2 linked regions of the Struthio camelus genome follow. The protein of the gene in region 2 purifies or fractionates together with the protein of the main gene of each other region. This does not show direct contact. Links are inferred from orthologs where the notes say so. Each region holds a gene or a part of one and is shown on either strand. Other genes may lie near its edges.

Region 1 (15,376 bases), on a different chromosome or scaffold from region 2:
TTTTACCACTTGCCAGAGTTAAAAGCTTGGGGATATGCAGAGTTAAATATCAAGGTTGCCTCTCCCAACAGCAAGATTCACTGCAGTACTTTTAATTGTAAGGTGAAAAAGAGAACTCACCTTTGTTCATCTCCTGGCTGTCCATCTCTGATCTAATAATCAGAAGAATGTTCATCCCTCCTACTACTTAACTCTTCATATGAGCTAATAGCCTTTTAGTAGTCACATAGTGGAGAAAAGTGCTGAAAATATTAAGAAGTGGGCTTTTTTTTTTTTTCAGTCACATACTGGGACAGCTGCTGACAGCCATGAGAGAGAGATTCTAAAATGATAGATTTTTATCAAGTAAAGTTACAGCTATCTAAAGGTAGTTCACAGCAGTCTCTTGGAAAGGATTTCAGGAGACAGGATTGAAAAAGACTTTCAACTATATGATCAAATTAAGGGGGTACAGACACCACAGTGCTGCTCTTTGTTCCTCTAGGGTTAAAGAGGCACTGATCGCAGTGCTAGCTGTGTGAAAATCATCCTTACTACAGATATTTTTCCACAAAGAAATGCACACCAAAAGCACATATTAACGTGCTTTTGCTGCTGACACTGCTGTCTTTATCAGAGAAAGAAAGGTAGCATTCACTGGGGTTGGGCCATTGTTTTCTGTGTACAGCCACTAACCAGAACCTCCTCCATCCTCAGCATAGTACCAGGACATCAGTCTGCTCATTGTGATCTGCTTTATCTCCCAGTATAAATGCTGATCCTTAAAAGTCAGATTTCCTGCTGAATCTGAAGCATGGACAGCTTGGCCTAACTGCTTTCTGCTTGACAGGAGGACAAAATAAAATAGCAATCAAGTATTTATCAGTCTCAGGACATTATGTTCAGCTCTTTCCTGGCTTACCTCAGAGCAGGCTGTTTCTCAAGGCTGCCCACCACATGTGATCAGAGGCATCCAGAGAGATGCAAAGGTCAGTCCCGTGCAGCACAACCCTAGTCTATTACTGACCTGGAATCTGCAGGGCTCCCTCAGGACATCAGCTGGCTGCCAGCCTGCAGGGCACAAGGTCAGAGCACTCCCAGCTTCAGGCATGCTAGGAGCCCATCCAGATCACTTCCAAAATACAGCCACTGTTCCCAGAAGCACAGCTGAAGGCTCCTAGAGCATCTGCACTGCTTGGGAGCAGGCAGGTGCTGCAGTGACCCCAACAATTCTCTAAACCAGCCTTTTCAGTGGTAATTTGCTGCAGTCATTCCCAACTGTCTGCTGCTGAGATAGTCTGGTATTTTGGCTACAGGCAGGTCCGAGTTACACAATCTTACACACAGTTCCTCCTTAAAGAAGGGCGACTTTGAGACATCTTAATTACAAAATGACATTTAAAAGTTGTCAGGGTTTATTATCTTGTCACACACAGTAATGACTCACTTAACATGTTGTAACCAGAAGGGTAATAGTAGGCCGAGATCTTCCCTTCCCCTGTGTATTGTACAGAGCCATTGAGTATGGTATTGGCAGTGGAATACCAAACTTGCAGTATGTGAAAGGACGTTACAATTAAAAAGTGGATTTTTTACCCAAGGGACCTGAAAAAGCATTTCCAAACATCCTAATGTTTAGGGCTGCTCTATCACATTGTTCTCCTGTTTATACCTGTCTTTTTCAGTGGCAGAATTCACAGAGTTCCAGTCTGTGTTCCTATTTGCATACAAACCATCACAGAATAGCTCTTCATGACAGAGAAGAAACTGTGTGATGTGACATTCCCTTGAGCTGCTGTGCTGACTGGGCTGCCAGCTTGGTCCCTTCCTGCAGCACTTCAGTGCAGCTACTTGAGTGCACTTAAAAGCAAACAAACAAACCCCAGAACAATACACAGCAGTCCTCGTGGCAAGGGATGCAAGCTGAAAACACACACAGCAGTTGACAAGCCCAGAGTCTTGTTTTATGGCTGCAAACTGCAATGCCTCTGTGACAAAATTTGACAAGCATTCCTGCTGTTTAAACAACTATTGTGGCTCCAGGAGGTACCTAAAGATTGGGCCTGGTATTGGGAACTTTATTCTGTACAGTGATTTTCCTCCTGCTGATGAAAAGCATGTGGACACCCACAGAGACCTCTACAGTGGTAGAGTACTTCAGTTGGTGCTGCTTTTCCATAGCCTGGAACAAACAACTAGGCTGCTGCTTCAATCCTCTCCTCGTTTGTCCATAGCCAATTTATTTACTGGGGATGGGCTTTTTTTTTGTTTTTTTTGTTTTAAATGAGGGTTTATTGCTTTTTCATTATCAATAGTACTTAAGAGAAAGAATTGATATTTAACAGAACTAAAACTCTTTGAGAACTCAACAACAGGCTGTGTGTTGTGATTGATATGCTTTCACAATCCCTTTCTTTCCAGTTTTTCCAGAATGGCCTGAATTCTGTGGACAGCTTCTTTCCTAGCCTGCCGAACGCTGTCCTGGCCACCAGTCTCTATAGAATCCAGTTCCAACAGCAACTTGGTCAGCATCTCTTCCAGAAGCCGGTAGGATTTATCTGTCTTTTTCCCTACAAATTCATCCACCTCTTGTTCTAGTTGTTCAGCCTCCTCCGTAACATGTAGGATTCTCTGAATCTCTGGTGGGATGGCTGCAGAATTTGTTGAAGACTGGTCAGCAGCTTTACAGCCTGCCTCCTGATTCCCAGCCGAAAGCTTCCGATTTACATTGTCATACATTTGGGGCTGTGCACTGTATTGCACTTTGGAGTTTGAAAGGGATGGCTTGGCATTGAATGGAGTCGGCTTGTGATCATTCATTGTCCCAGAGAGCTGGTGATTGACATCAGAATAGTAGTTCTGCTGGTTTGCACTTTGCTCAGGTTTATCATAAGCAGTATCCTGCAATCAAAAGCAAAAAATCTTTAGGTGCCTTTCCCCTAATGCCAGTTTTTTTTAATCTCTCCTCTTGCATTAAAAAGGTGAGCAAGAAGAACCCGAGAGAGCTGGGAGGCAGGTAGCACTGTGACTGCCTTGAGGTGTTTGTGCCTAGAGCGTGGGGCAGAATGGGGTTAAGCATGACATTACTAGGGATCTGGGCTGCATTTTCTAGAGTGTCATGCACCATGATGTCATAATATGGGAATGGTGAGTCACCGAGTACTCATTACACCTGAAGAGGGCAAATGCTGAATGGATTTTGGCAAGAGCCTATTTGGATGTACTGGAGGTGACGCTCCTCTGCAGGGAGCACAATTTCTAACAGTTTCCAGATAGCAGTAACCCCTGTCCATGTAGCTACATCCTCCAACAGGGCTCTGCCAACACTGCTGCCTTGGTACCAAACCTCTGGGGAGCCATTTAATTCTTGATCAAACCCAAAGGAAGGGGAGATGAACCACCCCCCACCAAATGCATCACTTCCATGTATTTTTTGCTTTAAAAAATAAAAAAAAATCCTTAGAATACTTGAGTCTGCAAACTGACTCAAAGATTAATCGCACACCTCTTCACTGGGGGATTTCTGACAGCGTTAGCTGCTTCAGAGAGAAGTATTAGACAAGAGAGACCAGGTCTGACCCATTTCAAGCCATGCCCTGGAAGGTCAGTTATCTCCAGCACCTTTCTGGAATTACAGCTCCGGATTTTGGTCTTCAGTACACAAATACTTCTGCTTTGTTTCCGCGTAACAGAAGCCAGCTGCAGCCACAGAAAAGGGCATTCCCAGGAGACAAAACCAGCTCTTGAGGAAAGCAGCATAATTTAAGAGATTAACCGCAGTCAGGATGCGGCAGGCACACAAGCTGTAACAGGCCATCAAAGCATCAACTGTTACCTTTGAGTCCTGAGTGGGAGGACAAGGAGCTCCACTGCCAGTCCAGGACGGATGCGATTCGGAGATGAACGGGTTCCCATGTGCCGAAGCAGCAGGCCACGCGTAACGCGGCTGCATCCCGTAGACTGCAGAGGGAGCCCACGATTCCTCCTGGGGTCTGGGCTGCGGTGCAGGCCCCTGCGGGGTAATGCCTGGGTTGGCTTCTCCGTAGGGATACTGCGGGACAGGCATTCCTGGAGTCTGGAGGAAGAGGTAGGGAAAACAAGCGTTACCCCCAAGTCATTTTCAGTCAGCCAACAGAAATACATCCTGATTGCTTCAACCCTCCAAACAGCTCTGGGAAGAGCTGCAGTCAAACTCACTACCTGGTTTCTGCTTTTCTAGCCTATAAACTTATAGGCTTTGGAGAAGAGGGTGATTACAAGTTTTTATAAGAATGGGTGGGCTAGTTGTTCAAGACATGAAAGCTATTTAAACGATTTAAAGCCCAACTCAGCACAACATAAGCAAGTCCAAACACCCAGGGATCCATCAGGGGAGACACTCTGGACTTTTCCCTCTGCTGGGGCCCAGTAAAACTTCTCACATGGAACCAAGCACGCTCTGAGCACAGGAAGCTGAATGGTTGTCCCAAAACCAAAGTCAGGCTTACTGCAGCAGCCCAGGGCCCAGCTGGAAAGTTGCTCTGGCCAGGGCCTGCCTCTTACCTGTGGCGGGGAGTACGCAGGAACTTGCTGTTGCCTGAGAGAGGAGCCTTCTGCCGGGCAGTCTGGTGGGCTGTAGCTCCAGGGAGGAGCAGGTGATGGCGGCCTGTACAAGCCTGGGGACTCCGCAGGGTAGGGAGTCCGCGGTGGCCCGGAGGAATAGTAAGCTCGTGTTTGCGGCAGGCCGGCGTAATGCGGAGCAGAGCCGGGAGCTGAGGGGTATGGGGTGCCATATGCTCCATTCGTGTAGGGAGAATCCACCCCCTGGGAAGGAAGAAAGAGGTAAAGCGGAGGAAGCATGATGAACACAGCGCCGGGCAGAGGGGCTCAGCTCTGGCAGAATGGCATGCACAGGGCCTCATCTCAGGCCTGGAGCCAAGCTTCCATGCCAGATGCCCACACCACCCCGGAAACATTGCTGCAGGAACCACACTCTGTTCCCTCACCCAGGACTTTCAGCCTAGCTTCCCATTAAATAGAGCATGGCTTTTCATGGTGGTGGAAGGCCGAGAAAGCAGACACAGAGAAGGGATTTACAGTACTCCATCAACAGGGGCTTGCTGGGAACCAGCTAGCTCACAAGACCATTTTCCTCTTGCATTTTCCTCCTTCCTTTTCTCAAAAAATGTGGGTATCTCTCAGCACTCTCACAAAAGCTTTACAAACGTGCAGCCAAAATACCTTTGTGTGCATCTTCTGTCCTTGCCTCTAACAAACACCAACAATAGCCTTTTCCCACTTCAGCTGCGGATTCTCGCTGAAGAAAGGCAAGCTGAGCCTTCCCCATCTGTTCTCTGTCCTGGCATCCTGTCCCTCCTACTCAAAGGCATCACCAGGGCTCAGCACTGGTCCCCATCTCTTTGCAGTCCAAAGAGAACTCCACTAAGGACACAGACCTCCAGCAGGCAGCATCTGGCCTGCTCGTCCCATTTTTGGGGATCAGGCCATAACTGATTCAGTCAGGCCGATTCAGTCTGTGCCATGCTCCAGCTTTCAGCTGTTAGATTTAACTAGGTCAATTTAGTCACTGATTGAAACTGATTGGTAGATGAAAAACGCTCCAGGGAAGTTCATTTCCTTTTTCAATCTACAAACAGAAACAATCCAAGATGACTAGATCTACTCGCCTTGAGCCTAAGGAACAAGGCAGTCGGATCACTAAGCTGCAGATATGGCTGCCGCAGTAGAAACAGTCAAATTTGTGAGAACTTTTTATAGGCAATATCTGTATGTCCAGAGCATTTATGGTAATTTATTTGAACATATTTGAGTACTTAATTTATACTGAACATAAGTGTCTGAGCTATGGTAAGACGGAAGCTCAAGTGTTAGCATTTCAGCAGCTCACTGACAGCTCCCTAGTAGCTTTGGGCTTCAGTTCTTTGCCTGTGAGCTGTTTCATAAAGGAGAGACCGGATCACCTGCTCCAGGACTTAGAAACCAGCTAAAGCAAACCTAAACGTCACATAGAATTAGAACAAACCATAGTTACGTCTGTACAACCAGCAGACGACCTCTTTGGAAAGAGTAAAGCCCTTTTCTTTGCACGATATTTGTGCAATGGTCCCTAAAAAAAAAACACTACTGCTGCATTCAGAACAACAAATAATAAATCCCAGGAAGAGTGAGTCACGGGACATAAAGGGAACATGTAAGCTTTTTTTCCTCTTCCTCTCTTCCTGCAGCAGGAGCAGCTAACTCGTGCCTGCCCTCTACCTGGGGTCAGACACGTGATGTAAATCGTGCCATCCTGCAGACTGCCAATTCCTTCCCAGGGATGAGGTTGACCGTACACATATCACTGTCTGTGCAGCTGACATCTTTAGTTTGCTGTGCCTTTAGGTGTCGGGCATTAGATTCCCGAGTTCCACATTCACATCGGAGAACAGACAATTCTGTTTCTCGATAAAGAATCTATTAGTTGGGACCAGTGTATGCATTACATGGTGATTCCCAATTCTTACCAGTCATCTCCTGGCAGCAGACAAATCAAGGATGGCAGCGTTGCCCCAGCAGTCTCTTCATTAAAAAAATATATATATAACTTAAAAATTTCACCTTGACCTGGATATTAAGATAAAACTTTCTACCCTGTTCATCGTCTTCCATTTTCTTCAATTAAAAACACCTGCCCCAAACCAGCAGAACGGGAGACCAGATTCTTATTTAATGCAAAATGGTTTGCACATGAAGCTACAAGACCATTAAAAAAAAAAAAAAAACACAGTTACACTTAAAGACATAAGACATGAACTTAAAAATCCAGACAGTCTGGCACAGCTAGATAACATTATGATTCAGCGTCAAGAATGCTTTGAAAGTAACAGGTAATTTCTGGGTAGGGTAGAATCTTCAAGTTGGTCCTAACACTGCTCATAACTAGATGGCAGAAGAACGAATCTGTTTATTTCTGTGAGCTGAGAAGATTCAGAGGCCACCCACGCGCAGAAGGGAGCACAGGAGTTGCAGCAACATTGAGGGCAGACAAGGCATCTCACCAGCACGTAGCCGTGGGGGAGAGGACAGGGAGAGAAACCCGCGGAGCAGACCGAAGTGCCGCCATCCGGCAACGAAGCACGCTCTCGCTCCAAGCCCTGCTAACTCAAGGCGAGCAGGGCATTAGAGCCACGGATTTCCCAGCTCCAGCTAGTCACATCGCCTCTCTGCCAGGCCCCTCCTCTAGGCATAAGGCAAGAATGAGATCCGTGAGATCTCAGAGTCGTTTGGGGTCATTTCTCCAGTTATGGACGGGGGGGGGATCTGTGATGGGTGTCCGCAGGCTATGGACCTGACAGTGCTTTGTGCAGGAAGGGCCGGGAGCTGTCACCGCTTGCAGCACGCCGTTTGCTAGGGCGTTCCCGAGCGGGCTGCTAGCCTCCGTTCAGTACTTTGAAGCGCCAGTGCAGAGCATTACTGGAAGCTCCCGGAGCAAGGGGGAAAGGGCAAAGGGAGCCAAACGCCCTGGGACGTCTGCCGTGGGAGGCAACCGAGAGTCCCGGCTCCCGCTTCCAGCTCAGCCGGTCTCAGCCCCAGGCCTCCAGGCGTAGCCAGGCCTCAGCAGACACCTCGGGTTTCGAGGGAACCACGAGGGGAAGGTTTTCCTCGCCGTACCTGGCCTTGCCCGTCAGGCGCGGAGGGACAGGGGCTGGAGGCGTAGGCGGTTGGAGGCTGCGCGGCCGCGCTCCAGTAGCGGGGCGCGTACCCAGGGTACGGTGTCTGCTCCTAGAGGGCGGAAGGAAGGAGACTCGCTTTCTTGTAGCGGCGAGCGGGAGGCCGCCCCTTCCGGGAAGGGGGGCACGGGCGAGAAGCGGCGGCGGCGGCCCTGGCGCGCGGCGACCGCCCCGACGACAGGGCGCTCCGTGGCTGGCTCGCAGCGCTGGCGCCCGCCCGCCTGCCTCGCCCCCCGCCCGCTTCTCCCTCGCCGACCCTCCCCGGCGGCTCCCGGCCCCCGCCGCCCGCCGTTACCTGCGCGCCGCCCGGGCGCTCCCAGCCGCCGCCCCCCGCCGCGGCCGGCGGGCAGTAGGACCCGGGGGGCCACGACGGGCCCTGCGCGGCGCCGCGGCCCGGCGGGCACCCGCGAGGCTCCATGGTGGGCGCCGCTGGGGCCGCTACCGGGCCGGACGTCGCCGCCGCTACCGCGCCAATCGCCTCGCGGCGCGGCCGCAACACCCGCCAATGGGCGGCGAGCGCCCGCGGATATCCCGCCCGCCTCTCCGCCGGCAGCCAATGGGATGAGCCCCAAGGGCAGCGGCGGCGCCGCCCCCGGCGCGGCTTAAAGGGGCAGGGGCCGCGGGGGGCGCACCAGGCACCGGCGCCCCTCGCCCCCGCTCCCGCCCGCGGCAGGGCGGCCTGGCCGGGGGCGTGGCCGCGACGAGGCCCCGCCCAAGAGCGGGCGTGGCCGCGACGAGGCCCCGCCCGGAGGCGTGGCCGCGGGGCGGTTCCGGCGGCGCATGGCGGCGCTTCCGCTCGGCGCGGCGGCAGCGGCGGCACCATGAACTACATGCCGGGCACGGCCAGCCTCATCCAGGACATCGACAGTGAGTGTCGGCCGCCGCCCTCCGCGCCGCCCCCGCGGGGGGGAGACGGGAGCCCCCGGGCGGGGACCTCGTGTCGGGCGGGGGAGCCGCGGGTGGGCCCCGGCGTGGGGCGGGTGAGCCCCCCAGACCCCGCCGTGGGCACCGACCCCCCGTGGGTCGGCTGAGTCCTCTAGGGAGCCTCCTGTGGGCCTCCCCGGAGCCCCCCCGTGGGCACTGACCCCCCGTGGGTCGGCTGAGTCCTCTAGGGACCCCCCCGTGGGCCTCCTCAGACCCCCCCCGTGGGCACTGACCCCCCGTGGGTCGGCTGAGTCCTCTAGGGACCCCCCCGTGGGCCTCCTCAGACCCCCCCCGTGGGCACTGACCCCCCGTGGGTCGGCTGAGTCCTCTAGGGACCCCCCCGTGGGCACCGACCCCACGTGGATCGGATGAGTCCTGTAGGGAGCCCCCTGTGGGCCCCCTCAGAACCCCTCCGTGGGCACCGACCCCACGTGGGTCGGCTGGTTCCTCTAGGGACCCCCCCCGTGGGTACCGACCCCACGTGGATCGGATGAGTCCTGTAGGGAGCCCCCTGTGGGCCCCCCAGACCCCCCCCCGTGGGCACTGACCCCCCGTGGGTCGGCTGAGTCCTCTAGGGACCCCCCCGTGGGCCTCCCCAGACCCCCCCCCGTGGGCACTGACCCCCCGTGGGTCGGCTGAGTCCTCTAGGGACCCCCCCGTGGGCCTCCCTAGACCCCCCCGTGGGCACCGACCCCACGTGGATCGTCTGAGTCCTCTAGGGAGCCCCCCCGTGGGCCTCCCCAGACCCCCCCGTGGGCACTGACCCCCCGTGGGCTGGCTGGTTCCTCTAGGGACCCCCCCGTGGGCCCCCCAGACCCCCCCGTGGGCACCGACCCCCCTTGGGCTGGCTGAGTCCTCTATGGAGCCCCCTGTGGGCCCCCCATACTCTCCCCCGTGGGCACCGACCCCCCTTGGGCCGGCTGATTCCTCTAGGGAGCCCCCCGTGGGCCCCCCAGACCCCCTCCGTGGGCACCGACCCCATGTGGGTCGGCTGAGTCCTCTAGGGAGCCCCCCCGTGGGCCTCCCCGGACCCCCCCGTGGGCACTGACCCCCCGTGGGCTGGCTGGTTCCTCTAGGGACCCCCCCCGTGGGCCCCCCAGACCCCCCCGTGGGCACCGAACCCCCTTGGGCTGGCTGAGTCCTCTATGGAGCCCCCTGTGGGCCCCCCATACCCTCCCCCGTGGGCACCGACCCCCCTTGGGCTGGCTGATTCCTCTAGGGAGCCCCCTGTGGGCCCCCCAGACCCCCTCCGTGGGCACCGACCCCCCTTGGGCCGGCTGATTCCTCTAGGGAGCCCCCCGTGGGCCCCCCAGACCCCCTCCGTGGGCACCGACCCCATGTGGGTCGGCTGAGTCCTCTAAGGAGACCCGGGTGGGCCCCGGCGTGGGGTGGGTGAGTCCCCCAGACCCCCCCGTGGGTCAGCTGAGTCCTCTAAGGAGACCCGGGTGGACCCCGGCGTGGGGTGGGTGAGTCCCCCAGACCCCCCCGTGGGCCCCGACTCCCCGTGGGTCAGCTGAGTCCTCTAGGGAGCCCCCCCGTGGGTCCTGGCATGGGGTGGGTGAGCCCCACGTGGGTCGGGTGACCCCCCCCCAGACCCCTCCCGTGGGCCCCCGCTCGGTGGCCCTGGGGCTGCCCCCCCGCTGGGGCAGCGGTCAGCGCCGCCGCGGCTGAGCGGGCTCTGGGCTCTCTTTCAGAGAAGCACCTGGTGCTGCTCCGGGACGGCCGCACGCTGATCGGGTACCTGCGCAGCATCGACCAGTTCGGTACGTGTCGCCGGCCGCGCTCGGCTGCTTTCGCCGCTCCGTTTGCGGGGCGGTTGGGGGGGGGGGGGGGGTTGGCTTGGTCCGCGCTCAAACCTTGCTGCCAGCCAGGAGAGGAGCCGGCGCCTCCTGCCCCACGGCAGGAGCCGTTTCTGAGCAGTCCGTCCGCAGCCGGGGCACGCGCGGCACCGAGCTGTTTCCTGATTTTTGGATATGTTTCCAGAAAGAGCTTTAAAAACACTGTTTGGGGTTACAGAGAGAAAACAGAGGGGGGGACGTTTAGGTGGTTTTCTCGCTCGCGATGCGCCGTCTGCGCTCTGCATCAAACCCGGGTGTCCTTACTGGCGACTCGGCAGCCCTGAACGTGGTTTGTGCTGCCGCTCTGGCTTGTCGCTCGCCGCAAGGAGGAGCCAGGCCCCGGCGGGCAGGGTGCGCGAGGGGACGGGGCAGGGGACGCGTGGGGCTGACAGCAGGGTCCTGGGCCGGCGGTGAACTTGCAGGAGACACCAACGCTGGGGCTGTGCGCGGAGCAGAAGTTCAGCCGCGCTGCGCCTCTCTGCTAGGGCCGTTGGCAGGTGGTGCCTCTCCGCCCGTCCCCCGCTGCGTAGCGTCAGGACAGGGAAAATACGGCTGGCTGCCGTGTGAAAACGCAAGCGGAGTTTTTTGGTTCTGGCCCGAGTGAAGCTCTGCCGCTGTCTCCAGCCCTGCGGCCGTGCTGCAGCAGCTGTTTGGGCTCGTCCTCTTGCAGCGTTCGAGGGACCGGTCTCCAGGTGGAAACGTTTGCACCAGCTCTTCCTGAGAGTAGTGGTTTTTGCACGTTTGTGGTTCTGCGCGAATGCCCAAATCTGGCAAATTCCCTACTCTTTTCCTCCTCCTTGCCCCCACCAGAAAGGGCTTTGCAGGGGTGAGGCACCTGCCAGAGGATCCTCGTGGCAGAGCAGAGGCCTCTGAATCGGGCTGCGCGGCGCTAGGTGAGATCGGGAAGGCTGTCAAGGGAGCCGCACGCTTGCGTGTTTGGCTGAAACAAGGGAGAGGCGAAGAGTTTAGCCTGGACTTGGCGCGATCCAGGGCAAGTATTAGTTGTGTGTTCAGGGTCTGCTCTCCCTGTTCACTTAAACAGGAGTAAAATCAGCCCACGGTCTGGGAGCCTGGTCGCAGCGTGGGCTGTGTCTGGGTCAGGCAGACAATGCTTTTTGCATGTGCCAGTTGTGAGCAGAATTACATATTTCCTTGACTAAAAACAATCTTAAGTTCTAATGAAAAAGGTGCTTGCTGTGCATAGAATGATATGATTTGAAAGTCAAGCTTTAAAGCTTGTTTGTGTTGTGTTTTAAAAATTCACTTAGGTGTTCCTCTTCTATGGGAGCTGGCATTGTAAACATCCTTTCTGAGCATGTACCCCCTCTTGTTTATGCGAAGGGTAGCTGCAGGGTTTTTTTTTCCGGATTAGGCAACTTATTGCAAAAAACAGATTTACGAGGTCTCTGGCTTTATAGATAATGCATCTAACCTTGGTTGCTAATTGGAGAAGTATCTGTTCTCTGTCAATCACTGCGGTTTAAACAAATACATCAGATGTGATTTGGTGGTTTACTGAAACTTCTTGTAAAAGCTGTGTGGCTGTTTCCCTCCCCTCTGCTCCCCTTCCCTTCCCCTCCCCTCTGCTTCCCTTCCTCCTTCATGATTTTGTCAGATGTTAATTTGATGCTCTAACTTCTCTTCTTGTGAAATCAGCATTTGAGAAGTATCTCTCAACAGCCTGGGATTTTTGTGTTTTATGTCTGTGCTTAAGATAAAACGTCTTAGTCCTTGCCCCAGAATCTACGGCACCAAAGATAACATCGTTTTCCCCTTGGCCCTGACTCTCATGCTGTCAACACATGGTGTTTGGGTGAATAGCAACCCTATCAACAGTTTGAGTTTCCTGGTTCTGTTTCCGACGCTGCTGCTGCTGCTTCTCCCTGTTCTGAGCTTGCTTGTCCCATCTCTGTCCTGTGTGCACAGGCCGTAAGAAGGAGTCCCTGCCCTCAAGCTCCTGTTCTGCCCATGCTGCAGCTCCTAGCGCAAGGAACTGGGGTTTCAGCTGCTGCCTGGAGGTGGCTGTGTCGATTGCTAAAGCTGAAGTGCAGCAGCCGCGTTTCAGTAGGGGAGAAATCTGGTTCCTTTCATGGTCTGGTTCAAAGGATCTGCCAAGAAGCAGTGGAGGTGCTTATCAGTGACCATGCCATCTCAGCTGTGGGTGTGTTGCCTGGCTCAGATGAGATGTTCTCTTTAGCTAGAAACAAAGTGAAAGATGGATGTTTTCTTTTTCTCTTGATCGCTGCAGCAAACTTGGTGTTGCACCAGACTGTGGAGCGCATTCACGTGGGCAAGAAGTATGGGGACATCCCTCGAGGCATCTTTGTTGTGAGAGGCGAGAACGTTGTTCTGCTGGGGGAAATAGTAAGTAAGCAGCTCTTTCTGCCTGGCTCTCTTGTCTACTGCTGGCCTGGAGCAATGGCTCAGTTGTGGTCCAGGGTTAAATAGCTGGTGATATCTGTAGCTACAATTACTCCGAGCAGCACTGCCAACGGAGCTGGGTCTCTCCAGCCAGAGACAGCATGTGGATTTTTTCTGTTGCTCGTGGCTGAACCAGTGTCTGCTGTGAAATATTGCCACCCTCCTGCTGGAGAAGGCCGTGCAGGGAGAGTTATGTAACGCTCAGCGCTGCTTCTTGGAACGTGCCTTGAGGTGTTTGAGAGAGGCTGAAGTGTTTGAGCACGTACTGTTCCTGCAGTATAGAAGGCATCGTTTAGTCCTAGCTGGCAGTCGGGCTCATTCTGAGTGCATCCTACCAAAAGTGTCCTAGTGTAGCTGAGTGCATGGGAATCAGGTGGGAAGGGTTGCAGCCGAGACCCCTCTCCCTTCAGCTGTGAGTCGTCTTGGATGATTTGGGGGTAAAGAAGACACTCGGAGCAAAATACGAACTGGTGAGTGAGTGCGTGCCTGGAGGAGACCTAGAAAAGCCCTGGCCTGCATGTGGCATTGCTTGAGGGTGTCATTAGTGGCTGGCTGTGGAACGGTCACCTCCCTGCTGCTGCATACTAAAGGACACTGTTTGACATGCATTCAGGAGGAGTCAAGTACTGTCTAATTTTTTCTTCACTTTGGCCCCCTTGGGTTACACTCAGCTTGGCTGTTCCGCAGGAATCCCCCTCTCCCTTGGACTCCTGTTTTCAGTTTTTCCTCCAGTTGCATTCAATCAGGGTTTCTAGGGCCCTTTTCTCAATGTGGTTTCCTGCCCACGTTTCCACCTTCGGGGTGCCTGCAGCACCTCCCTGTTGCATCGCATCTGGCTCTTGACTGGACTATGGGAAGATGTGTGGGCACAAGCTGCCCAGACCCCACCGCAGTCCGGCTGCATGGCTCAGCTCCTCACCTCAGGAACTGTCCCACTCCAATGACTTTGGCAAGAGAGATCAAGCCAGTCATCTTTGGTACAGCAATGCCACCCCTTCCTGGGGGCACAGAGCCTTGCCAGTTGTTTGCAGGAAGCGCTCGGATGTCACAGAAGTCCAAGAATGTAGGGTTGGTGTGTTAGCACCCCTGTGGAGATGTGAGTGCAGATCTCCACCCTGGACCTTTGCAGTCCAGGTCCACCCAGCTGCTTCTAGCCCCCTCAGACCGGTTCTGCCTCTGGCCAGCGTCATGTGAGCGATATGCGCTCCGCAAAGATGAAACCGGCCTGGGCCTGAGTGTTCCCTGCAAGCTGAGCAGTTTCAGGAAAGCCTCGCGAGCAGAGCTTCGGGTCTTGGATGTAGCATCTGCTTTGCGATGCTAAATGGCCTGTTTCTCTTGCAGGACCTGGAAAAAGAAAGCGACACACCTTTACAGCAGGTCTCGATAGAGGAGATCCTGGAGGAGCAGCGGGTGGAACAGCAGGCCAAGCAAGAGTCAGAGAAGCTGAAAGTGCAGGCGCTAAAGGAGCGGGGCCTTTCAGTCCCGCGGGCAGACACCCTGGACGAGTATTAGCTGTTCTGCCCCTTGGACAGTTTCCTGTGAGGTGGAGCGAGGAGTGCTTTATGATTTGACCATGTGTTGACAGATCTCTTTGCAAAGGCTGTTTTTATTTTAAGATTGTTTTCGATGACAGATAGCTGTTAAAATCATGCCTTTAGTTTCTCTTCACAAGACCCTTGTTGAGGAGTGAAGGTGTTTGATTATCCTTTAAGGTAACCAAATGCTCTGGTGTGAGTAAGAGTTTATGTTGTTCAGGAGGCAAATCACTTGATCCTTTTTTTATTTTTTTTCCCCCTTCTTATGTGACTCTGAATGAGAGCGTTCCTTGACATGTAAATAAATCCTCAATCTCAACAATGTCGGTTTTGCCTGTGTTTGGGATTTGCTGCGTTCTCGTCTTTCTGGGTTCTGGATGCTGGATCATGGGACAACCAACCTTCTGTTAGTCTTGAGTGGAGACTTATGCCCACTGTCCTCCCTGCCAGGGATGCTGTGAACCTGGGGGTGCCCAGGATGGCAAAGAGAGCAGGGCTCTTGAGTTTGGCTGTAGGTTGTGCTCAGTACTAGTAAAAGCTTAGGTCTTGCTGTAGTGACCTCCCTCTGCCCAGGGAGGGGAGCAGGACCTCTTTGCACCGTGGTCGGGTACCTCCTGCCCCCCGCAAGAGTGGGAACGCTTCTAGGCTCCCCATCTGCTCTGCAGGTCGTCAATGCTGATACCTGCTCCCATCTGAGCAGGCCTCAGCAGCTGAGCTGAGTCCACTAATGACCCACTAATTGTCAGACCTGTCTCACCTGAGCTTGGCACAGCCCCCTGGGGCTCTTCCCCTTGCAGCAGAACCAGCCCCACTTCCTCTAGCGGCATTTCTTAAGCTTGGTGGGTTGATGATGGTGGCAGAGGCTCCAGAAGGTGGGAGATATTCTTGCTGTTGAGTTTGTTCTGATGCTCTTGGGTGTCTTACATCATCATTAAAGTGCTAAAATCTAAGACAGCTGCCTTTCTACACC
Region 2 (15,031 bases):
GGCACCAATTTGCAGAGGCTGACTGGCAACAAATTTTTCAACAAAATCCACCTTTGAGTTGCCAGATAGAAATCCTGCCCTAAAACAACCATTGTTTAGACAGAAGAATCCAGAAAGGAAGCCTGCATTTTTTTGTTACACGATTAGCCAAAAAGGCCCAGGCAAATGACTTGAACAGAAGCCCACTGCTCAGAAGCATATGTTAGTACCTGTGTTTAAGACTCGGCAAACTTAATTTCTGACATCTCTTAGTGAACAAACTGTTTACACCTCAAAAACCAAGCAATCGTTTCTGCTATTAAAAAAAAAATTCAGTTCATATGCAGTATTCAGACTAAAGATTGTCTTACTTCCATTATGTCACCATAGAGAGTTATAATAAAAAACTTCCCTCTAACTATTTTTTATATAAATTGTGTCTCAACACAAATAAAAATTAACATAACTTGTATCTCAGCAAAAATAAAGAAATTCATAGCTTTACACTTCAAAAGGGAGATATTAGTATATGCATATACAAATTCCTACTGGGAATTTAAAACGAGATAAAAAACCCTATATACATAGAAAAGATTCATCAAAATCAGATGGGATAAATGGGTCTTGTGGTACTTAACATTGCTTAAAATCCTAATGTCTAAGTTAGCCTGGAGATGTATGTATTTCTTTTCAGTTTCTTTGGGAATTTAAAAGAGGGAATTTTACCTCTTTTTCAGCATATCAAAAACTCTCAGAAATAGAATTTTCATTTAAACTATTTGAAATGTTATTTCACTGTTATTATTTATGCCACATACTGTGTATGAGCAACAGAACTCACTCTTGATATATTTTCGAGCTCCACATTGAGTTTAGGAAAAAAGAAGATCTAGTGGATTATCAAACTATACTGCTTTGGATGCCATGACTTTCCTCAGTTCTTACTTCATTCAGAGGGAACACTTCTGGATCACAGTTCACATAAAGAATTTTTGGAATTTGTTCCTATGCACCAAGCACAAAATATAGATCACGCTACAGCTCTACTTCCAAGTACAGACAAACTTGTATATTTATAAATGCTCATTCACACATAATTGCATGTTGCAATGGTTCTGTGTATATTTGCAAGCAAAGGTACAGCATTCTCATGTCTTCCAACTCGTTTCTCAGTTTCCCTCACATTTGCCAATTCTCACATAGAAGCCTGATAATTATATAAGACAAGCACAGAGCCCAAAGTAATAACTTTGTCTCTCATCAGGGATTAAATGAGGCTCAACTCCATATTAGCACTATTTTCAGGTCAGTTACCCCTAATAGTCAAGGAGTAAGCCCTTCTTCAACTTGCTGTAAGGAGAGTATACTAGAGCTGGAGCAGAAGGCAGGGTTTGAATTGGCTGTTTTTGTCTGTCTTTATTCAGAACACCAAGATCAGTACATCACTCCAACCTTCGGTGGATTCTCTTTTATGACAAGACTTTCAACACTCACTGAAGTATATACAGAACACAAACACTATCCCATATGAGTATTCACACCCATCATGTACACTTTACCATAAAAATCTACTATTTGTCAATTAAGGGAAAGATTACGTGTTAAGCATGTTTAAATGCTTTCTTGAGAAAAGTGGTATTTTAGGAAGCACTGAGCGACTCTTCTCTTTCAGCACTTCAAACCAAAAAATGTATTCCTTCAATTATAACCATTAGCCAGCTAGTTTCAGCCCTTGAAGGCTGTAGTCTTCAATCACTTTGACTGCCTTAAACAGAAAAGAGACTCTGAAGAAGAGCTGACTACTTAAACATTTAACCCAACATATCACACACTTACATCTGGCATTTCTGTAAAGTAGAAAAGGGTCCTGCAGCTGGAAATCGAGGTCTTTAGTAATTGGTTCTGTTCGATTTTCCATGCTCAGCCTGTTCATAATTGTGAAGCCATGCCTTGGAGAAGCCGATCTGAAAATTACCAAGTCGAAATCATATCAGGTCAAAGAAAAATAGAAACAACCATAATCTTTTGTTGTATAGTTTTCCAAAATTGTTTTTCTTTTTTAACAGATATTTCAAAAATCTAATTCGGTTGTCAAGGAAGTAACAATTGAGTCTTGCAGTCTTTCATATAATCCTTTTAATTATTTCAAAACATTCTGTAAGAGAAATGACCAAAGCACCACTGTTCACAATAACTGCAGAGACTATGCAGCATCTGTGACACTACCATTTGAGGCCCAATGATTTAGTCACATCAATTACATATACAGCATTAATCATGTAGGCATGCCCAGTTTTTGCATTGAGTTATAAGGCCTACAACTTCTGAACAGGCAACATATTACTAAATGACACTCTGTCCCAGACCACTAGCATCACACTACCCAATCATCAACACCTAGCCTATGGTTTCTTGCTGGAGATGAAAACAGCAACTAGAAAGATTCAGTCATGGACCAGAGCACGGTCTGTTGTTTAATATTCAGATAACGATTGCATGTGACAACCGTCAGCCCAGATAGGATTTTCAATACCATCTAAAATATAAGAACATAAATCATATTATGCTGTTTCATAGGGGTTACACTCCTAAGTCAGTTAGATAATTTCTGTTAACATGAGCTGTTAACCCTACCACCAATTCTGACAGAAGCTATTACTGTCAAATTGAGTTTGACGCTAAAGGACAAGATAATGGCTAAATGTTTGGGAAAAGTGCCAACTCTGGTATTCGCTGATAGGTGGATGTCTCTATGAAACCCAAAGCACAGGAACTTGCATCACAGGATGGGAGGTAACAGAAAATTCAACAAAAGGTGGAAACCTGAAGAAGAATCCTTGTTTGCAACAGCCAGTACTTTTTCCCTCTTTTTTGTTTTTAAATAGTCCACTTCCACTGGTGTTAACCCAGTGGGAAGTCCGATTTTTGAAACTTCCTGAGAGTTCTCCAAGATGGGATAGGTGATAAATAATCCAGCTCAAGTAAAATGGTCACATTACTTCATTACAATGGTAATAAGGAAGCAACAAAGGCAACATCAGTTGCCTCCAACATGTGGTCTGTTGGTAATGTTTCTCCAACAAGATTTTATGACTTTGTTCAAAGCCACAGAAAATTCAAAACTGAAACTGATAGGGAGGTCAATGTATGATGTCACCCACAGCTCACAACCTGTTCAGTATTGTTCACTGTAGGGCAGCAAGGGTGGGAATTTTTGACGTAAATGGAAACTTCCTCAGCTTCCCTTCTCTACAGGGAACAAAAAGAACCATGGAAGAACACAGGTGCTAGAAATGCCAGGCCTACATGTTGTCAGTTCCAGAGATCTACATCCAACTTCCCAGAGAAATACTACTTCTATTGCACAGTACACAGCTAGGCACCCGATGCTATTGCTAGCACAAAGAAGGGCCAGTTCTTCCATCTTGCAGTGGTAACTTTAATAGCATCTCATATTATCTTTTTGTTCCCCTTCACTTACCCAAAAAGGAGGTTAGAAAAATTACTACTAATGATTCCTACTGCTGGTAAGAAGGAGTTCAAAAGATTAAAATCAGCATTCCCACCTCCCGCAGTTCATATTCTCTTGTGCCTTCTCCTTGTCAGTTTGTCACTTCATACATAAGACTCTTGCCCACTCAAAAGAATCCTTTGCTTTCTCAGTGCTCCTATTGGAGCCTCAAAAGCATAAAAGTTGAAGGACAAAGTCTGTTTACCTGCTTCAGTGTCCCTTCCAGCAGCTACTGCAAGATCTGTCAACTATGTTATTTTCTGCACTTAATATTAGTCATGCAAAAATTGGGGCGGGGGGACACTACTTTGGAAACCCTGTCTGAAGATAAGACAGGCTTTACAACAGATCTAGTACACAGAATATTAGAACGGAGGATCTGATGGATGCTCTGAAAAGCATTGTTTGTAAAATATCTGAACATCGTAAGGATTTCTCATCTCAACAGACCTATTCTTAAGTGGAAATATTTAAATGTAAGTGAAAAAACTGCAAATGTAACATACACCTAAACATATTAATTAAAAAGAAATCCTCCACAACCACAGCCATTGCAGAGCAAAAGCATTAAAAACATCCAAAACCTTGGGAGGAAATATGCATGGAAAATTAGTAATCAAAGACAAGTAACATGAATGTTCCCCTACACAATAAAAAAAAAATTTGTTTAAATCCTGTCATTCCCTAAACATAATGAACATCATTATTTGATTTTTTTTTCAGATACCTTTTAAAGGACAAATGCTACATCCTATTTAAAACAATATCACAGATTTCTCTGGTTCATCCATATTGAGTTTCAAATTATATTTTGAAGTCTTATTCACATTCAAGGTGATGCCTCCTTCCCAATGTTTTCTTCTATGCATTGTCTTCTTTCAGTTTTCAATTTCTTTTCACCTTGGAATACGACAGGATTTGAACATGATACTTCAACTGGCCAAACTGTCTCCTAGCTAGGTTTTCCACATCCACTTTTCATGTGCAAGCACTAAAATATAACATTCTTACCTTGCGTAAACAAACAGTGTTCCTTCCACATCAGTCTTCTCCTAAACAAAAGGAACGTTAAAAAGTTCAGGCATAAATAAGCCTGCATTATCTTTGTTTTAACCGTATCAACTGGAGTTACACCTCTCTGACTTAAGCAACGAAAAAATAACTAAACCCTACCTCATGGGCAGTGGTGATAGATTACAAATAGCATAGATCACTGTGCAGCTGATGCTAGTGTTATGACAACATATGAGAACTATTAGATCTGCTTTTTCTTTCTTTAATAAAGCCTCACAGTCAGTTCCTAATCTGTTTATAGCCTGTCAGCCAGGATAAACGATGAGACGTCACTGGAAACAAACAAGAAAGCACACTTAAGTGACACAATAGATACTGATGCTCAATATCCTGTCTATGTCTGGGGGCAAGTACTTTAGGACGCAATGGGGGGGGCTGTTTCCAGCTAAAGAGCCAATAACATGAGCGTAAACACTACACTCAAGTATGTTTGAGGGTGACTCTCAAATCTGATTCTGTGAAAAGGTTTTCATATAGACGCTGTCCTCATGAGCAACGTCCAAGACTGATTAGGGGGAAAACATACAGAAAGCATATTGCGCACATTCTTCAAACACGGCTGGGGGCACAGACCTTAAAACTCTTATAATAATAACAGTAATAGCAATAACCCAAGAACAATCCGTTAACAGCCTCACAAATTTTCAAAGGATTGCCCAAGATATTTTTTCTTAAACAGCACTTTTTTTTTTTAACCTTAAATTGCTTTGTAACATTTGCAACGCTGACAGTTTTCTGTGTATTGCGGGTCTAACCGTCACTAACCGTTTTCAAACAGGGGACAGCTCTTCTTGCTCACGGCCTGGTTCAAAACCCCATCTCCCCCTCCCCCCCCAAATCCTGCAGAGTAAAAAAGTCCCACAGACACTTCAAAGCCCGCCTGTTAGGCGCCACGGGGCTCCGCGAAGCCCCACGCAGCCGGCGGACAGGCCTCCCTCGGCCCCGCGAGGTGCCCGCGCGCAGCCGTCGCGGGTGGGGCGCCCGCCAACCGCCCTCACACCTCGGCGCCCCCCTCCCCCCACCCTCAGCGCGGGGGGCGGGGCCCCGCTTCTGCCCGCCCCTCCCCCTCCGCGCGACGCCCCGCCCCACCTCCCACCCCCCGCGAGGGCGGGGTCCCCACTCGCGCCGCGGCCAGGCCGGGCCCGGCCGGGGGAGGGGCGGGCGCACGTACCCACTCGTTGGCGCGGTGCCCGAAGGTGTAGAGCGCCACCTGGCTGGCCACGTCCACGATGCTGCTGATGTAGGGGTCGTGCTGCTGCAGCGCCGCCAGGCTGATGTCCAGCCCCTTGCCCAGCAGGGCGGCCCCGGCCACCGCCGCCGCCATTTTGCCTCCCACAACAACACAGGGTTCCTAGTAGGCGCAACCAATCCAATGCCGAAAGGAAGGGTGTGCTTCCCCCCCCCCCTCCCCGCCGCTTCCCTTCACTCCCGCCCAGTCGGAACGAGAGCGGGCGGGAGGGTCGGAAACCAGCCGCTGCAATCGAGCGCCGAGTGCCGCTCGCTCAGGAGTGTTGCCCTTGGTAACAGGCAAGCTGCGGGCCCGGCCTGGCTGGCGGCCGTTGGCCCCGGGCTCGGGGAAGCCGGTGGCGGCCGGTCCCGGCCGCCCGCCCCGTCCTCAGCGCCTGCCCCGCGCCCTCGCTTGGCTCCCGCAGCCGGGCTTGGCTGGCCCGGCTGTTTGTGTGCTCCCTTTCGTTTTCCAGCCTCTCAGTGCTGAAAGGCTCAGAGGCCGCTGACTTCCTTGTCGCAGCAGGCAGTTGAGATCTGCCAGTAACAACCAGCCAGAGGTTTAAAAGAGAGAGCTAATCTCCACAGAGACTTGCCACGAAGTTGCGAGAATTGGGCGTATCAAGCCAGGCGTCCAGCATGCGCATACACTACGCCTGTCAGCGCGCCGAGGTGAAGGCGTGGTACGCTCCAAAAATCTAGATCCTCGAGAGAAGGGAGAGCCACAGGAAAATGTGGAATTGGAGCCTCGTATACCCACGAGCTGATGTACGCACAAGAAAATTCAGGCATAGCAGGGTGCCACTGCAGAGAATATATGTGCAAGAGCGCACAAAGTTAGCGTGTGCGTCTGTAAGCGCATGTGTATTTCCTGTGTCCTTACCAGCACAACGCACCCCTCGCGTGTGTGGGAACAGAAGCTGGTTAAGACCTATAAGTACACATAATTCTATATTTGCTGGCATACGCTCGGGCGTATTTCTGCATAGCACTTAAGCAACAAAGAGCACATGAGTACCCACCAAGCAAACAACAGAGGAACAGACTGATAGGACCGTAAACTCAGTTTTCCTATCAACCAGAAGTATTTTCTTATTAATCTGTTATATCAACAATTTACAGCAAATACATCAGCTTTCTGTGGCATGCGGATAAACTCAATACATACTGTTACACGTGAAAGATCTGGTTAACAGTCCGGCCTGACATCCCTGTGAAAGGGTGACTTTTTAACTCTGGACTTCATCACATCAGACTGCTGTAGCACTTTTGCAAGGAGTTACCACTCTGCACAGCAGCAGCAGGGCAATATATTTTCTTCTAAAGAATGGGATACTCTGGAATAACTAAAGGCAAAGGTAGTGCACGGCACCTGTTTGTTAGTTTGCAATATACTGGATGATACATTTTTAAAAGGGTAGTAGCTGGACGTAGAAAAGGAAGACCTCCATTTTGTTTTCCTCTTGCCTTTGCACCCTGGGTCAGGTGGGACAGAATAAGCAGAGACATCTGCTCTGCGAGCAACTGGTTGAGCCCAGGGCATGAAATTTCTGTAGTGTAATATGGGGACAGGAAAGAGCTGGGAGACAGCAAGATAGGGATTTGTAGTATTAAATGTAGGGACAGTGAGTCTCTTGAGTTAGGAACAGACATTCAGCTAGCAAGAGAAAAGTCAGATAAAGAGATTTTTCTCTGAGACTTAGGAGGGAATGTGTAGGTTTTGCTGTAGTCCAGAAAGCCACTGAAAATTGCCTTACTAAGAGCACGGATCTACAGCTTCCTCTGCAGGTATATATTGTGTGGGGGGGGAAACCTCTTTAGAGACTTTTATTATGATCTGCCTTGCTCTTATTTTCTCTTTTTCTAAAGCTGCTTTGTTCTAGCTAGGACTCTAATGAAACGTAGCTTTGGAGTTTAAAAGTTGTTTAGGTGTTTTTGATATACTCATGGTAGAGGAAAGGTTCTCAGCTGTTTTACTGCAAAGCTCTGGCCGACTCGTAGATCCTGTAACAGCAAGGAAGATGCAATAGTTCGTGGTGGACAAGGGAAACTACCGTGCTTGGTTTAGAAATGACAGGGTTAAAATGGTAAGAAAAAGAAAAAGAAGTAAGTAGGAAAGATAATTTCTGTTGCTCAGGTAGTGAACAGATCCACAGTCATTTCTTTTTGGTGTTAAATGATCTTCAATTCCCAGGTTCGAGGCACTGCCAGTCACAGTCCTCCTCATGTGCTGGAATTTCTCATTACCATCCCCTTGCCGATTCTTTGTCATGTCTCCTGCTTACAGGAGACGTTTGTCACCAAGGCATGGAAGTGTCACTTGGAGCCCTACTTCTGCCGTTGCCTTGCAAGATGCCTTTGCTACCTCCAACAGTAATACTTTAAAAAAAGGTTCCCCCACTTGTGAAGCCTCTTTCAATTTTTACAACTTCTCTTGTGTCTGTTGTTGTCCCTTTTGTCAGGCCAAGCAGTAGCCAACATTTGAGACCTTGAGACAGGCTGACTGGGTCAGGTATGTCTCTTGCGCCCTTCTCTTCGCATACGAACAATGCACTAACTGTCCTGTTTCCCTGCACACCATGGAAAAAAAACCCAACTGTGAAGTCAAAATCTTCAAGTAGGCCTGTCAAAAAGTTTTGCCTGTCTGTTCTCAGTGCCCTATTCATGACTGCGTCTCCCCTTTAGTACCAATTCCTTCCTGGAATACTGTGTTTTTCTAACAGAGCTTGACAGGCAGTTCCCCAGCCCTGCGTTTATAGTCAGTGAATTTATATTGCTTCTGATCAGGCTATTTCATATTTCTTGCTGCGCTGTGTGGAAGCTTCTGCTGGTTCCAGCTGTTTTCCTGTTTAAGTGGGACATAATTGCACCTTCCATTTAGCCTGAAGCAAAGGTACTTAATAAAACTATTAGCTTTACCCTGCTTTATGGAATCACTTGATAGTAGACTTAAATTTTCCAATGAAACAAAGTCTTGTAAGTAGAGAAACACTATACATTCTCCCTACATCTAAAAAGTTAAGAACATTTTAGCAAAAAGTCACAATTTTAAAAGGTTGAATCTTTAAACTGTATTTATTTGCTTACATCGGTAAGTCAGTAATCCAATGGTCTATAATAACTATCAAATCAAGTTAGAATGATTTTACTGTAATTTGTTTATGAAACAAAGTCATTTTTTAGCTTTGAAAATGTCGTAATTTCATGAAGTATATAATTAGAATGTCACGTTTTTGTCTTCCACCCACGTGGATACTATTCTATTAAAAAACTATGTTTTTGAAACAGTATGAAAGGGATTTTGAGTAGGTAATATCCAGACTGATGTAAGGCAAAATCTATACAGCATGCCATTCTTAAGGTCTCTGTTAATAGCAAACACTAAGTAAGCTATTTAGGCCAAACCATTTCACAAGAGTTGTTCAAACCAGATTTTAAGTTCAAACCAGATTTTACATCTTTGCTTCACATTTAAGAATCTGTGTCACTTGTGAAGACTGAGCCTTTCCTCCTGCAGCAAATTATTGACACCGACAATATGATTTCACATGAATTCATTAGGTGACAATGCTGAGTTTATGCAGCCCCTGTGCCAGGTCCCAGGCATTCATTCCTGCCGTGCTGGCATCTCTGTACGATACTGGCACAAGTGCATGTGTGGCCACAGCATGAAGCAGTCAGACTGGGAGCTGAACTGATTGAAAAACAAATGTTCATCCTGCTGCTGAGATCGCAGATTCAATTGACTGCTCTCCTATCTGTTTACATACAGTTCCTTCTTTGAGTGATTTTTTTTTTTTTTTTTTTTTTTTTTACTAAATGGCATGTCTCACTTAGGAAAATGTATAGCGTTGAACACCCCATTTGCTCCACTTCCTCATGTTGCACTCCTCTGGAGCTAATAGCTCATGGTAGTTGCTCTTTGCTTCTTATTCCTTCCTCAAGGCTGCCATAATTTCCTTCTCACTCTGACCAGTGGCAACACCGCTGCCCCTGCCAGCAGAAAGGTGCTGAGACAGCATTAATAAGCTCATCTCACTCCGTTCACTCCACTTCAATGTCTTTGCTTAGTGCTTCCCAGCATGCCGGCTTCCTGGAGAACAGTAGGTGAGTAGGTGGCTCTTGAGGAGCCGGACAGGTCTGACAGGGCTGGTTCACCCATGTTTCCCATGTCTCTGGGGATGTGCTTGCGCCTCCTCAGCAAAGTGCCTCTCACTGCTGGGGAACCAGTGCCTTTGCAATCTACTGGAGGCTGACGACATCCCTTCCCAAATGCTGTTGAAATGCATGGTGTTTTTACCCCACATTTACAACAGGCTCTCAGTAACTAACTTCAGAGTGTGCTTTCATCAAGCTGAAAAGTCTAAATTGTTGGTTGTATTGTTGGACCACCTTTTAATTCCAATCCTAATGGGTAAAGCAGTTTTAGTCTTTTTGTTAGTAATTTACTACTCGCTGAAGGATCCTTAGCATATACAGAGACAGACTGCATAGTTTCATCTGTGCAATTATTCAAAAATTATCCCCAGACTAAAATTAAATCTGATTAGTTTCATTCAAATTCAACCTCCGAATAAACCACAGCACGTGCAGTTGTTAGCATCCATATGTGTGTGGTTAACATTGCTCCCTGGTGAAGTTTATGAGACTATTTTGAGATTTTCTGCAAAATGTTAGTCCACACAAGAATAGGATGGTATTCTTTGGCATTGTTACTTTGGAAATTCAGATACTGTGTCTGAAATGATTAATTACAATTTGTTGTGACTTTTCCATAAAACCTTGTGTTTTTGTGTATAAGGACCTGGGTTCTTACCAAAATACTATTGCTTGTTTTGACTTACATTTTGCTAAGTGATTCTGTTAGTAACTTCTAAGCTTTTTTTTTTGTTGGTGTATATTTATTTACAAGATGCTTAGCATTAGCTGTTTATAGGCCCAGCTTCTACCAATGGCATGCCTAGAAAACAATTAAAAGAAAATTAACCAATGTAGTTAGCCATAGTGTAGTTTTGTCTCTATAACTTCCTATGTAGATATTCTTCTGTAGTGAAGAATTCTTTTTGGTTTAACTTTAATCACTTTTCAAAAGGCATATACTAAGCTGAAAAAAAGATCTAATATCAGGAAAAGACTATGTATTTCAGGAGCAGGAAGGGAGAACTTTTACCGATAAAATTCCATTGAATTAGAGTGTTATATAGAAAAAAAAATCTTTTTAATATACATTTAATCTGTAAAAACTCTGATTTTTATCAGCGTTAGATTTTAAATGTTTTAAGTGACTGTAATAATATTTCAGTGTTTTGTCTTTTAGTAGGGCAGAAATGAAAAGATTATAGACCCCACAAAAGATTTTTGTATCTGAAATATTTTTCCCAACTATAATAGTTGATTCAATAAAAAGTGTTACCTCTGCCCATAAACTTTGCCTGACTTCTATATGATCGCGAGTAGAATTTCTATCAGACCTGTTAATAAAATTCTAAATTACTTCCTCCAGCCTCTCCCAAAGCCGATAAAGTTATAAACATACATTGTGGCTTTTCCTGCCAGAACAAAGAAAAAATCCTGTCAAATCTCATTTTTTCAACTTCTTTCATTATTTGATGTATCAGAAATCAGTGACTTCCTTCAGCAATAGTCCTCTTAAAGTTTAACTTTACAAGCTACTTTGCTGTCAATGCAATGCTACCTTAGTTACAGTTAAAAAATTGACACTGGATTATATTATGAGAAGGTACTCTTTTGGGACCAGTATTTGAGCTCCTCAGTAATTCTGTTACCACAGCTGTATGTGCTTATAATCAATAAAATACTGTTGATATCCATTACCTTCTTGCCATCCTGATAAACTGCCATATACTGATTTGATCCATCAGCTTCATTCTTTACACAGTTGATTGGCCAGGCAAACCACCTAAACACTGATGATAGGCCATGCCTGCTATCTCCGATAGGTTAATGAGATATAATAGTAATTATACATTTCCAAGCACATCTTTCTAGTAATCACCATTTAATTTGGCAGAATCATACACCTGTAGCTCTAAAAGAGCTATTTTCCAACAAGTTACAGAGAAAATTGCCTCTTTTATTTACTAATGTGAAAAGTTCCATTAGATAATTGCATTAAGCCAGGACCTCATTTTTACACCTCACCTGGCACAGGAGCTCTTGCCACGTTAGAGAAATGGTATCATTACAGAGATGTGCTGCTGCTGCTGCTGCTAAGGAGCTGGTGGCAAGCCTAGAGGAGTATCTGGTCTGAGTCTGGCTGGGGCAAAGGGATCCCAAGGTAAGGGTTCTGGAGAAGGGGAATGTGCTCTTGCTGCTAAAGTATCTTTTTATGAAAACAAATTCTGCATATTGAAATTAGCTTGGCTGTGTAAACCATGGAAGGGAAAGCTCTGAATTACTATCACACCTGTTGCTTTATCAAGGGAGTTCACATTACTGCATTCTCAACTGACAAAAATGCTGTTGCTTCTTGCAGTGAAGAATGTCAGTGTCTATTATAGACTCTGGTAAAGGATTCCATAGCATTAGATGCAGCAAAGGTGAATGGAGTTGGTGGGAGTGTTGTAGCACTGCTGAAATCCAGAGTGAGCTACAACAGATAAATGATTATATAAGCAAGGAACTGTACGTGAATTGTGTCTACGTGTATATTGTTGTCATAGATGTAACGTAACTGAGTAAAGTTATTTTACACAGTTGACTGCCTGAGTTAAGGTGGGTGTTCTGCCTCAAGTGTCCTCAATAAAATTTTGTAGCTGCTTGTGCAGATTCCCAAAGGGAAATTCTTGTGATGCTGATAGCTACTTAGTATCTGATTCTGAAGGTAGCTAGCGCTTATGAAGGTTCTCACAAACGTATATTCCGTAGTTAAAGTTAGGCTTAAAAGCTGTTATATTTTTCTCTTAATATGGGATCAGCTAATCCATAACAGTATGATCTTTCCATTTGGCATATCATTTTGGGTATTCATTTTTATTTATTACTGGCTTTATTTTGCTAGCAAGTATCAGTGTGATATTTGTTTTAAAATAGATTTTCTTTCAAACTGAAAATTGACTTTTTTTTTCTTTCATTATACAGACTGTTGCAATAAGGATCCACAATTGTCTCTGTGCTTTAATGCAATTATTTGCCTTTTATTGAAAGTTAAGAATTTTTCATTTTGATTTTAAATTATTATTTGTGTTGCTGTAGGGTTTGTGGATATGGAAAGAATGGCCTGGACAGAAAAAAGAACTCAGATTTGTGTAACTAGAAGATAGAGCTTGATAATAGTTGAAGTGTTGCCCTTGGAAACAATGAACAAAATCTATCTGTTTTTTCAGAGGGTGGGTCTGGGCAAAGACAGCTTCCAGCAGGCAGCCAATAGAAGACTTAAACACTCTGAATGAGATTTTTGAAGTGGAAACTAGGGGTATTAGCACTACAAAACTCCAGTGGGTGTCTGAGTCTATGTTTATTACGCTTGTGTGAATTTATTTCCCCTGGTGAATTCTGAGAGCTATGAAGGTGTTTGGCAGGCCCTCTTCTACAATCTGATTTTGTCGTTCTCTGGTGATGTTGTGCTGTGTCTTCTGTCAGATTAAATTCACAGGCATACTGCCTTGCTTGACAGAAACATGAACTACATGGATTTTTCCAAAGAAAAACTTCCATAACCAGTAATAGGCTGGAGTTTCTTTCTTCCTCTTATTTTATCTTGCATTGATGTTTGCCCTAATCTGTCAATTTTATTATAATCCCAAATTAATCATATAAATATAACCTGCAGTTGAACTTGCATAATCCTGCTTTGTAATCTACAGTGAAATTGCTTTGTCATTTAAGCAGTAGTAAGCCTAGCAACCCAAACAAGAAGTGCAAAACAAAAACAGGTTGAGGATATTTTTTGTTAGATGGTTCTGTTGTTTACTATTGTTTTACAACTTGATTTTAAGAAAAGATTTTTCTGAAGCAGTTCAGTGTGTGCCTTCTTAAGGACTCCAGTTTTATTAATACAAATTAAATGCAATCTATTTCATGACTTTCTCCTTTAGTCCTTATTCAAATCAATATGCTTTTTTTTTTTCCAGTTTTTAATGGAAGAGCCAACATGTTGGTTCTGAATCTGAAAAAATCTTAATCTCTGAATTAAAAATAGAAGAAAAAATTAGTCATAGGGGCCATAACATGTTACCTGGTGAGACAGCAAAACAGACTGTAGTGGAACTGTCTGGTAATAGCAGTTGAACAAAGAACAGAGAGGAAAACCACAGGAGCAGAACATACAAGTAATAACGGTGCCCAAAGATTCTTTATGCAGTTAATTCATAGTAAGTATCATGCTTAAGGTGTGCTAAGACAGAAGGGGTCATAGAAGTTAAATTTCTAGCCAGCAGGACCTCCCAGGTTGCTGGGAGGCAGGGATTTTTGTATTTCCTGAGGAGGATCTGTCTTTGTGGATGACTGCCCTAGCACTTTCAGAGTATTGCACCAGGAGTATGGCATTTCTTACTTTTGCATCCCAGGGAAGAGGGGGAAACGGGAGCAGAGTTACTCGAGCAGCCCGGGCTGGTTCTAAGGCAGAGCACGCAGAAGCGCTGGCAGGGCAAAATACACGAGATAAAAGGAGGTAGGCTGGATTATAAAGCAGAGATCAGGATTGGAAGAGAACTACCGGATAGTATTGTTGTACTGCTTGTGTATTATATGAACATACAGACTGGGGAAATAGGATACATGTCGAGTCACAGCTGATGAGATTAGGGGATAGAACAGCTGGGAAGAATTGGATGGAGTATAGGAGGGGGAAGCTGAGGTAGGACACCTGCCATGGGGGAGTGGAAGGTAACATTTACGTAGGGGGCAAAACTGAAGAGGGTTTTGGCCAGAATGAGAAATAAAATGAAATGGGAATAAAATGACATGAAAAGCACACAATCAGTGTAAATCTTGGTGTAGAAAAATTAGGACAGATTTCATAATGGAAAGTAGAGGAAGAGGGATGTTCTGGGGTTTAGGTGGAATGAACTGCTGAGCGCAAGGATGGGTAAATCATGTGCCATGGTTATTGAAAATGCCCTTTTTGTGCCACTGCCATTTTTTGGGGTCACTTTAATCACTGTTTGTGAGGTGACCTAGTTGGAACTCGTTGCTGTTATGGAAAGAACGTATGGAGAGTCTCTCCTCACGCAGCGCTGAGCAATTAGGAAATAGATACAGCATCACATAGATTTCTGTCTC

Evidence for each region.
Region 1: the proteins of DCP1B (region 2) and BAG4 purify together in Homo sapiens (affinity purification with mass spectrometry; 3 studies listed by BioGRID and IntAct, counting the BioPlex papers as one, with this or other methods). This does not show direct contact. The link is inferred for Struthio camelus from reciprocal best matches to the Homo sapiens genes DCP1B and BAG4.

The regions. Positions count from the first base shown.
Region 1 is NC_090968.1:7,090,571-7,105,946, reverse strand, and holds BAG4 (BAG family molecular chaperone regulator 4), read right to left. Parts: upstream 8,122-15,376; 5' UTR 8,107-8,121; coding exon 7,984-8,106; intron 7,912-7,983; exon of another isoform or gene 7,741-7,911; coding exon 7,630-7,740; intron 7,219-7,629; exon of another isoform or gene 7,082-7,218; coding exon of another isoform or gene 7,017-7,081; intron 4,783-7,016; coding exon 4,522-4,782; intron 4,055-4,521; coding exon 3,815-4,054; intron 3,722-3,814; coding exon of another isoform or gene 3,601-3,721; intron 2,881-3,600; coding exon 2,380-2,880; 3' UTR 1,360-2,379; downstream 1-1,359. Other genes in the region: G protein-coupled receptor kinase 5-like, read left to right, coding at 8,510-8,555, 10,307-10,375. UniProt on the Homo sapiens protein: Inhibits the chaperone activity of HSP70/HSC70 by promoting substrate release. Prevents constitutive TNFRSF1A signaling. Negative regulator of PRKN translocation to damaged mitochondria.
Region 2 is NC_090942.1:69,907,241-69,922,271, forward strand, and holds the start of DCP1B (mRNA-decapping enzyme 1B), read right to left. Parts: upstream 5,939-15,031; 5' UTR 5,889-5,938; coding exon 5,736-5,888; intron 4,543-5,735; coding exon 4,502-4,542; intron 1,944-4,501; coding exon 1,816-1,943; intron 1-1,815. UniProt on the Homo sapiens protein: May play a role in the degradation of mRNAs, both in normal mRNA turnover and in nonsense-mediated mRNA decay. May remove the 7-methyl guanine cap structure from mRNA molecules, yielding a 5'-phosphorylated mRNA fragment and 7m-GDP.